2 linked regions of the Canis lupus familiaris genome follow. The protein of the gene in region 1 purifies or fractionates together with the protein of each later gene. This does not show direct contact. Links are inferred from orthologs where the notes say so. Each region holds a gene or a part of one and is shown on either strand. Other genes may lie near its edges.

What was found. Proteins that work in one complex are often made in the same cells at the same time.
Region 2: the proteins of SDC2 (region 1) and FGF2 purify together in Homo sapiens (affinity purification with mass spectrometry; 4 studies listed by BioGRID and IntAct, counting the BioPlex papers as one, with this or other methods). This does not show direct contact. The link is inferred for Canis lupus familiaris from reciprocal best matches to the Homo sapiens genes SDC2 and FGF2.

Annotation. Positions count from the first base shown.
Region 1 is NC_049250.1:41,599,026-41,604,264, forward strand, and holds the start of SDC2 (syndecan-2), read left to right. Parts: upstream 1-1,722; coding exon 1,723-1,759; intron 1,760-5,239. UniProt on the Homo sapiens protein: Cell surface proteoglycan which regulates dendritic arbor morphogenesis.
Region 2 is NC_049240.1:18,290,491-18,295,812, reverse strand, and holds the start of FGF2 (fibroblast growth factor 2), read left to right. Parts: upstream 1-2,107; coding exon 2,108-2,113; intron 2,114-5,322. UniProt on the Homo sapiens protein: Acts as a ligand for FGFR1, FGFR2, FGFR3 and FGFR4. Also acts as an integrin ligand which is required for FGF2 signaling. Binds to integrin ITGAV:ITGB3.

The DNA.
Region 1 (5,239 bases):
CTAGGCTTTGATTTGGGTTTAAGCTGGTTACGGCGCACATTGTCTGTCCATCTACCTGTTGTTAGGAGAGAATGTTGGGTGATTTTGTTCCTATGTCCTCCTAATGTTATTCGGGTTCTTTCTGTTCGTACTTTCAGCCACAAGATGACATGTTTGTACCAGCGGATCGTACAGACCCCACATAGCCCACCCTGGGTTGGGATTACCAGGCCAGGACCGATGGTCTGAGCGGGGTTGCGGTGCCTGGGGGACCCGGGAAGACCACCTGGAAGGGGCGGGTCGTCGTGGGCCGGACACCCCGAGCTCATGCTGCATGGACAGGCCGGCCACTCCAGGCAGAGGACGCACCTCAAGGCCAAGGTGCTCCCTGAGACAACAGGTGCAGACGTCGAGCCTGCCTGGGTGACATGCGGGCATCACTGCGCGTGGACTCCACCCGTTGACTCACTCACCTCCAGTCACAGTGAGGACATGGAGGCTTGGACTTGGCGGCCCGCTCAGGGGCAAGGCCTCTCAGAACACGGCGACGGGCGGGACTGGCACCCAAAGCCCAGCCGGTGTGTGACCCAGCCGCGTGGCCACCTGCAGAGCACGGACACCGCCTCCCCCCACAGCAGGTGCGAGGGTGCGTCCGTCTCCTCGCCCCTTGGGGAACTCAACAGCCCTCCCACGCACGACCACCTCACCCGTTTCTCATTGCACTACCTGAAAGAGTCTAGAAACGTGTTCACACCTGGACATGTGTGCACTTTGCCTTCTAGATGCTTTAGGATAATGTTCAATGAAATAATTCCCTGCATTAACCTGTAGGTGATGCCAGTATTAATGCTATTTTATGCAGAGAAATATCAGTATGTTCTATTCTTCTTTGAGAGGTTTTAAGATACCCAGCTCTACTGAGCATGGAAAGGTAATTCAAGAATCAAAACATTATTTTTTAATAGATCTTTTCCCTCACAAATCTAAATAATTTTTAAAAGTAATTTTTAGAGTGGTTGGTCTTGATTTAAGAGCGTCCTTTACCTACGTATGCCTTATAAAGCCCTGGAGGGTGAGGATGTCACTGTACTCAGAGTGAAGACAGTCACAGTCAAAGCTGCCTCGTCTTCATCTCTGTCTTTGTCTGGGATCGTTTGTTGACCAGGAACAGAAGCCCTCTTATACCACCTAAGGAAAAATAAAAATTTTACCCTAAGGACACTAAACTATCTCAAGATCCTAAAGGAATAAGTTTGATTTGGGTCTCACAAGAGCCAGAAAAAAGAATAGAAAGAAAAAAGAAAAGTCAGGACCCTCCACTATGCGGGCAACACGTGTCCCCTATGTCTACCTGTGTGTTTACCTGCTTGTCCTTGCCCTTGTACATCCATCGTCGAGGACACACGAGGACCCTCGGCAGTCTGGGGTGACTGGGAGTCATCCAAACGCGCAGCTGGGTTCGACCCCGAGCTCCTCGGCTGAGACGATCGGAAGGGTGCATCTAAGTGGTGGGCACTAATAAATCGCCTCGCCCCCCGCACGACCTGGTCCGCGTAACTGCCGGAGCAGGTGAGGGACTGTGGCACCAAGGGCAGGGCGTCGGGGTGGCAGTCACAGCGGTAGCACCGTCGTCCCTAACGTCGGCCCGGACTGTGTCTCCCCGTCCCACGGGACCTGCACAAAGGCGGTGCCAGCACCTTGAAGATACCTTTGTGGACCCTTCCTATGCTCATGTACCCGAGGATGGCTCGTAGGTCGATGTTTGATGCCCCCAAACGAGGTAGCCTGCAAACAACGGTTTCCTTAAAATCTCCATTTCTGACTTTAGGATGACATTTGACACGGAACCTTAATCACCGACGTGCGACTTGAGGACGAGCGGCTCTTCATCTAACAATTAGCCAACTTCCCCGACAAAGGAGCGATGGAGGTGAATGGAGAGAAAGGTCAAAAGACGGAGGCTAAAACTAGGTGTTAGCTGTTGTTGGGCTGGGCTTGCCTGTAGATTTTGGTCACGGCTCCGCGCACTGGCCCTGAGGAGCGTGGGTAATTGAGAGTTGGCTGGCTGGATTTCCTCGTATTCCCAGGTTCTATCATCTTTCAAGTGAATTTAGTCAGGGCTGATCCGACTAAATAGATTTCTAGCCTGAACCGCTGGTACCATTCCAGGGAATGCCAAGTGAAGGCCAGTCGGAAACACCGAGGCGGCATCTTTGTCCCCCTGCGGTTCCCTCTCTGACAGCTCACCTCGGGCCACAGCACCTGCTAGTCCCGGCGATCATGCGACGTCACTAAGGACCCTGGTGACAAGGTCCAGGGTGTCGGCTTAGGTTAAAAATATGTCTCTAGTACCTGTCGTCTCTGTTTTTCTCGGGTGTTCTGTGCCTTTTAATTCACCGCCCCCCCTTCTTACACGCCTGCTCTCTGATCTCTGTCTCTATATTCTGTTCCTCTTCTCTATCTTCTTCTGAGATTCCTGAGGTAGGTTGTTTATTCTTTCAGCAATCAGTGAGCGGTTGGGCAATGATTGATTTTGCCATTTTACCTGTGGTGCCCCCTAAAGCACAGCCCTCGAACGGAGGACCTGAAAGCACACTGGGGGGAACCCTTGCCTTTAATCGCTTCCTGCTTTCCGTGTGTGAGATATACATGCGCCACACAACTCCATAGAGTTTTATTCAGTCAAAAAAAGTTGCAGTTAGCAAAACACAGCAACAGGCTGCTGTAGACGGAATGTTTGTGCCTCTGGATCCCCCTCCCCAGACTCCCTCCTATACATAGGTTGAAATCCTAATCTCCAAGGTGATGGTGTCGGGTAGTGGGGCCTTTGGAAGGTGGTTAGGCCAGTAGAGTAGAGGCCTCATGGATGGCACTGGGGTTCTTATCAAAGGGGCTCCAGAGGACGCGGTCACCCCCTCCCTCACCCTGTGAGGACACAGCAAAGAGAGCCCTCCAGGAACCAAGAAGCCCGCTCTCACCAAATATGCCAGTGCCTTGATCTGGGACTTCTCAGCTTCCGGAACTGTGAGAAATGAATTTTTCTTGTTCAGAAGCCAGTCTATGATATTTTCCTTAGAGCAACCCAAAGACACAGACCTTCCTCATTTACGACTTTAGAAATGTCCCTAACAGCAGCAGACATCCTTGTCCCTTACCACCCTCCTCTACCCCCCGCCCCCAGCATAGGCAGGTCTTTAGTAACCCCGTCTTGCGTACGTGCTTTTACCATCTGCGTCTTTTATACGTCCAGATTATCCTTCTGGTCACACCTTCTGACTCTCAAATGCATTTGGACACAAGATTTGAATATTTCTTTGTTATCAAATACCTGATATTATGTGACTCTCAAAATGGCACCATCCCCTTATTATCCGTACTCTCAATGTTGCATAAACCTCAAGAGGCTCATATGCACCAAGAGCTTTGGGGGTGCATGTTCCTTGAACAGATGCACGGGCTTATTTCCTTTGATCGCTGTCTGCCCACGCTGAGGCAGGGAGCGGCCACCATGGTCCTCCTTAGGGAGATGCCCCAACAGACAGCAGTAACCTGGAGAGCCAGCAGGTGAGTGCGTTTCCCCCTTTCACTGGGGTTCTGATCTATTTGATGTTTCTAACCGTTGGGGAGAAAGGAGGTGCAGCCTTGCCCCAGGCCTGAAAAGCAGACTAGCTCTCTTGGCGGTAGAGGCAACAGTTGAGGCTCTTTGCATTTCTCTCACACTGTTCATTTTCCTTTGGAAACTCCTTTTCGAAGTCCCTCTCTCCTCCATCTCATGCAATTCTTTAAGCCACAAAGAATCCATCTTAAAAATAAGGCTGTAGTTCATCCTTCCAAAAACCAAGGTAGACCCACGCTGACCCACAGTTGCCAGCCCAGTTTCTGTGGAATTAGGAGCGTCCGATGATACAACTTCCAGTTCTCCTGACTTCCTCTCTCTCTTTCTCCTTTGCCCACTTTTCTGCTTCTCCACATTTCCTCTTGGACTATCAGCACGTTCGACTTGCCCGTGGGGAGCTTGGCGGATGGCACTCAGCATGGAAGAGCTGATGCCTCTGACTTTGAGCTGTAACTTCCCAGTTCTCTAAATTTCTTTCTTTGAGATTTATTGCAGTGAACGGCCACTGAGACACTGTGATTCTCAGAGTAGGCTCTATTTTATTCTAAGTTCAAAAATTACCATGGCCTAGTATCTATCTATCTATATCTATGTTTCTCACAGTTTCACAACTCTCATGCACTATAGACTGAGTTTTAGACCAAAACTTATCTAATAAATATTTATTGTGTGTCTTTATGTACCAGGAATGAGAATACAGTGGTAGAAAAGACAGAAAGGTCCCTGGTCTCCTGGAATGGGCATTTTAGGAGCAGAATAGTTGCACATTTGACTTATTCCGGAAGCCAGAGAGGAAAAGATTCTAACAGGCGGAAGAACGTATTTGCGGTGTTCTGTAGGATGCGTGCCATAGACACCGAATTGAAAAACAGTTTCCATCACAAAATATTTCAGATTAATTACTTCCATTCAGGAAATACATGCTTCTTATTTTCTCCAAACTAGAAATTACTTTCTCTGTCTTTTCTTTGAAGTTCTCCTAAATCTGTTATTATTCAGTGTCTCTATCCAATTTCTCATCAAACTGCCCTATTTGTAGCTTCCAAACTTTAACACCCCTAGGCTGAGATGGAGCCTCTAAGATGATTTAGGGGCTGAGACTGTGTGAGGCAGAAACGGTATTTAAGTCCTTCATGAAATCAAGAGCTTTCCAAGTGCTGCATTTTGGGTCGATAGGGGGTCTTTGGTCACTCTTTATTTTTCTTCTTCTTCTTCTTCTTCTTTTCTTCTTCTTCTTCTTCTTCTTCTTCTTCTTCTTCTTCTTCTTCTTTCTTCTTTCTTCTTCTTCTTCTTCTTCTTCTTCTTCTTCTTCTTCTTCTTCTTCTTCTTCTTCTTCTTCTTCTTTCTTCTTCTTCTTCTTCTTTCTCCTTCTCCTTCTCCTTCTTTTTTATTTTTTTTGAAGGAGGGTGTAGGAGGGCTGAGAAGCCCTCGCACCGCGGGTTCATTACATTCATCCTCTTAAGACACGGTCTGTCTTCACGAAGGCCTGAAGGCGGCTGCGAAGCTCCTGTGTTTCCCCGACTCTCCAAGCGGTGTCCTCCTGCTGGTGTGATGCCCGCAGGCCCGGCTCAGGCCCGGCTCAGGCCCGGCTCAGGGTCTCTGCGGTGACAGCGGCCTCTCCCCCGGGAAGTGAGGGGAAGTGAG
Region 2 (5,322 bases), on another chromosome or scaffold:
TTAATTTTAATTCCAGTATAATTAACACAGTGTTACATTAGTTTCAGATGTACAATATAGGGACTCAACAATTCTATACATTACTCAGTGTTCATCATAACAAGTGTACTCTCAATCCCCTTCACCTATAATGAAATACATTTTTTCTATTATAGAGGGACTACTGAAGAAACATTTCAAGTTTTCAAGTCTAGTTAATTCCTGTTCAGCTTTTTTAAAAAGTCATTACTCATTTTTTCTGTATTACTTTTGTGAAAAGACCTTAACCTTAAGAATACTAAATTCAGATAAAATTTTGTATTCTCCTAATGACTAGGGGCTGAGGTGTTTAAATGACCTTTTTCATCCCAGGAGATGGGCTGCTGTAGGTCAGGCTTGAGGTCATCGTCTGATGAGTTACAAACAAAGTCATAGTTTTGGCTGATGTTACAGTAAACTTGGACTACGGACAAAGCTGATGCTTCCTCACTGATGAAAGAAAAAAAAAATTCAATCCTGCCCTCTGAATACAAATAAACACGGGCTATAGTCAGCCAGTTTTAGTGAGTTGGAGTTTATAATATTTCTAAATCTGGTACCCATTGCTGTGTGACCATATGTGGTCAGGTTAAAGTTAAATGTTTGGAAAGATTTCTGGGAAAATAGAAGTATTTCCAAGGAAGGAGAAAGAATCTTAGAACTGAAGAGAGGGAAAAACCCTATTCTTGGTCTATTTCATTCTTTTGTATCCAGAAAGACTAACAAAGGAAGAGTCCATAAGTGGATACTCTATTCGGAGAACTGCAGGAAAAGTGTTCTTATAACTTCCTGCTGTGATGCACTCTAACTCAGTCTTTGAATAAAAGAAGCTAATGATGCATGGGAATTTGGATGATTACCACAATACGTGAATATTGTGATGAGAGTTGCCCCATCTTGAAAACTATTTGTCTTGTTGGTGTCCCTTTAAGATGTGAACATTCAATAATTAAAGGAATTGTAACCTCCGATCATCTGGTCACTAAACATCTACTAATAAAGACCAGTTATTTTAGCTTTATTTACCCTACTGGTTTCTACTAACCATGTGTTCTTGTAGGGAGATAGGGAGTGCAGAAGTCATCAGAGAGCTGTCTCCTGGAATCCCAGAGGACATAGCCAGAGATGACTGACACACAGCATTTTACTTTCTGGACCCTCTGCATTTACTTTTTTTTTTAGGATTCTCATAGAAAATTATTATATTTTCCTTACTACATGTATTCTAAAATAAGTTATTTAAATGAGAAAAAGTAGTACATGCATGTGGTTAAAAATTAAAGTTGCACAAAAATAGGACAATTGAGAAGCCTTCTTTTGCAGTTTCCAGTTCCCAGTTCTTCCCAGATGTAGGCATTACTGAAATACTCTATGCCTATCAAAGCATACATATTGTGGGTGCATGCATGTTTTTCCATCATGAAAATGGAAGCAGAAGGGCACCTGGGTGACTCAGTCTGTTAAGCACCTGCCTTTGGCTCAGGTCATGATCCCAGGGTCCTGGGATTGAGTCCAGGGTTGGGGATCCCTGTTTAGCAGCAGCCTGCTTCTCCATCTCCCACTCCCCCTGCTTGTGCACTTTCTCCCTGTCAAATAAAATCCTTAAAGAAAAAAAAGAAAGAAAGAAATTGGAAGCACACCATACACATGGCAGCATGCCTTATATTTTTCACTTGTTTTCCATTTTGTCAATATATCTTGGAGATCATTCCATAGTCATACATAAAGATTGACTTCATTTTTTTTAATTGCTATACTTCATTACAGAATTGCATCTGTAGTGATGGGCTCTCAAAAATATTTATTAAATGAATGACTTTACTATAATTTCATTTATAGGCCTGGTAGGTACTGATACCCCTCCTTTTTTTTTTTTTTTCATTAGGCTCCACCCTGGGCATGGAGCCCAATAGAAGGCTCACCACCCAGAGATCAAGACCTGAGTTGAAATCAAGCATCTGATGCTTAACCCACTGAGCCACCCAGGTGCCCCGATAACCTTTTTTCTTACTGCTTAATTCCAGGCTTTTGCAACCATAAATAAAGCTGAAGTACATACATTCATACATCTGTGGACATATGCGCGAATATGTCCGTAGGATAAATTCCTAGGAAAGACATTGCTGGCTTAAAAGGAGCACATTTCAAATAATTGAGTGCTCTAGCCAGTTTGATCTCAGACGAACAGTGACAGAGAGTGCCTATTTCCTTCTATCCCCTAATGCTATACATTGAACTTTCTATGTCCATCTGAGAAGTAGATCAATATATCTCATCCTAGGTTTAATTTGCATTTCTTTTACTCACATGTTTGATATTTCATTTATATATTTTATAAGGTAATCTACATAAATATTATGTGCTTATATACTGTTTATATTTATTTTTCTATAAAAAACTTGTTCATATTTCTTTGCCTCTGAGTCTTTTCTCAGTGGTATTTAAGGACTCCTTACGTGTTTAGAAGATTCACTTTGAGATCATGGACACTGCATAGCTTCCCAGTTTGTCATTTACCTTCTGAGTTTGTTTACAGCAGGGGCAACCCTGGTGTGGGTACTTATACTAAACCCCTATCATTGAAGGGGTCATTCATAGTGCTTTCCCAAAACCAAGAAAGTTTGTCCCAAAGGTAATTTCGGGTTCCCACTTTTTCAAGGTTGCTTTAAGATGACTGGTATTTTGTTGCTGTTGTTTTCTATTAAAGTCCTGACTGGGATCCCTGTCCATTCCCACAACCCCAGACCCAGGGTGCCCTCCCAGGCTGATAGAACACTTACTGCGTCCCAGAGGCTCCCATATGCATGGTTTGTTCCCACAACCATCCCCTCAGTTATTGAGCCCTTAGGACTGTTGGATAGGCCACACCATAGCCTGCCAGACATCCTGGGAAAGCGTTTCCCGCCCTGCGCTGCCATGATGCATAGGTTTGAATGCTACTTCCTGACAGCCCTCATCTGTGGGACTAGTGGTCAGTCAGGCCATCTTTTTTTTTTTTTTTTAGATTTTATTTATTTATTCATGAGAGACACAAGAGAGAGGCAGAGACATAAGCAGAGGGAGAAGCAGGTTCCTCACAAGGAGCCTGATGCAGGACTCGATTCTGAACCCCAGGATCACGCCCTGAGCCAAAGGCAGACGCTCAACTGGTGAGCCACCCAGGTGTCCCCAGTCAGGCCATCTTGATGGATTCCTAGGTGTCTTCCATCTCACACAGCTCAGTTCAGACCCAGAATCTAAGATAACAGGTTTTTTTCTCTGAGTTTTGGCACATAAAAAAAAAGTATCTTAATTGAGGGCCAGGATGCCCATTTAAACTAATGTCAAAATAAAAACAAATGGTCAATGAGATTAGTTTCTGAGCAGATTACACAGAAAATAAAGAATAACAGAGTTTTCAGGTAAAGGGTCATCTTTGTCATGTATTTATTACTAATAACATCTGTTTGAATGGAATGAATATAAGGATGGCTGAGCTCCTCCTCTGATAGCTCTTCCCACGCAATTCTTACTATTGAGTTGATCTAATTAAAAAATATAGACCATATGAAAAAAAAACTTTTACTTTTTAGCATCCCTTTCTTTAAAAAGTAAAAGAATAAGTCTTTGTGGTTGTCCCTTGGCCCTCAGAAAGGCCCCAAAGATACCTTAAGAGTAAAAGACATCATGAAGTTTTAATTTTTCTGAACTTAGGGGTTGAACTTGGGAAAGCAACATCAAAGAGTCTAATGAAAGGAGACTAGTCGCTTGATTAATGGAGTCACATAGGTAACTGAAAATAATGAATGACTAGATTGGCTATTTAGTAGAGTGACAATATAATATTTAAGAATAAGGGGAGGTGGGCAGGGGATGGGGTGACTCGGTGATGGGCACTTGATGGGATGAGCACTGGGTGTTATGCTACATGTTGGCAAATCAAACTCCAATAAAAAAAATACAAAAAAAAAAAAAGAATAAAAATTGCCAACTGTAACATAATTAAGCCTTGGCTATTTCAGGAACCTTTAGGTGTTTATTGTTTGTTTATTTGTTTTTCAAAATCAAGAATAAAAAGTCAAGATAAAGCACAGAACATTATTCTGGTGAGATCAGGATCTGCTACCTGGACATAAAAGATAAACAGAAAAAAAAAAAAAAGATAAACAGTACTTTTTTATACCTCTTGTGGAAGCAAAATAACAGCTGATAGTCATAATGACAACTTGAGAAGTGATAAAATTATTTTTGATGTACAAGGTTTTAGAAGACAGTCATTTCTGCATTTTAGTGGGATTTCATAAAGACATAAGTTTAGTGTGGTTTCATTAAAAACAGTTAACATTTAGAGTTCCACAGTCATTGACCACACCCATACGTAATGTAGACAAGGAGACAAGGAGTGGTTTTCAAAAACAACTTTTTAAAATGAAATTAATGCACACATTCTCTTAAAAATACTTGTTCACGCCCTACTTAGAGCAACAAGGCCCAAGGATACTACAATATTTAGGGTAGAAAGAGCCCTCCTTTAAGGGATCTTGTGTTCTACTAGAGTAAAGGAATTGATAATAAGTAAGGAAATAAACAAGATACAATTTTAGACAAGTTTTATGTGATAGTAGCCAGAAGTTATTGATATAAAATAAAAATAATTTGACTACCCAAAATAATGAGTACTAACATTTTAACACATATCATTCTAATATGTGTTTGGGAGTATCCATATGGCTACACAGAGCATGTTAGTTTGTATGAATATAACATGATTTATTCAAATTAGTTTGTTCACTTTGTTGGTCTCTCATTTTTTTCTCCATTACAATCAATGTTATAAAGAAACCAAAGTTGCAAACATATGTAATATTTTTCTTTAAATTTCTTGCACAAAACCTTATTGGCTCAAATGAAATTTAATTTCAAAAGTTGAAGGACTCAATGCACATATTTTTAAACTGCCCTTCCAAAATGATACAGTAATTTATCCTCCATCCATCAGTTCATGAATGACATGACAATACTAACATCAGTTCTTTTTTCTTGCAACTTTAGGGGAGAAAATTTTCATTTTTATTCTAGCATGCATGTCTCTATTTGTTCTAATATGTAATTTACATACCAAAACATTCACCCTTTTAAAGTGTACAATTCAGTGTTTTTAGTATATTCATAAAGTTGTGCAATTATCACAGCTATCTAATTCCAGAGCTTTTTCATCACTCCAAACAACAACAAGCCCATACCTATCAGCAGTCATTCCCGATGTCTCTCTTCTTCTAGGCCCTGGCAACCACTAATCTGCTCTGTGTCTCTGTGGATTTGCCT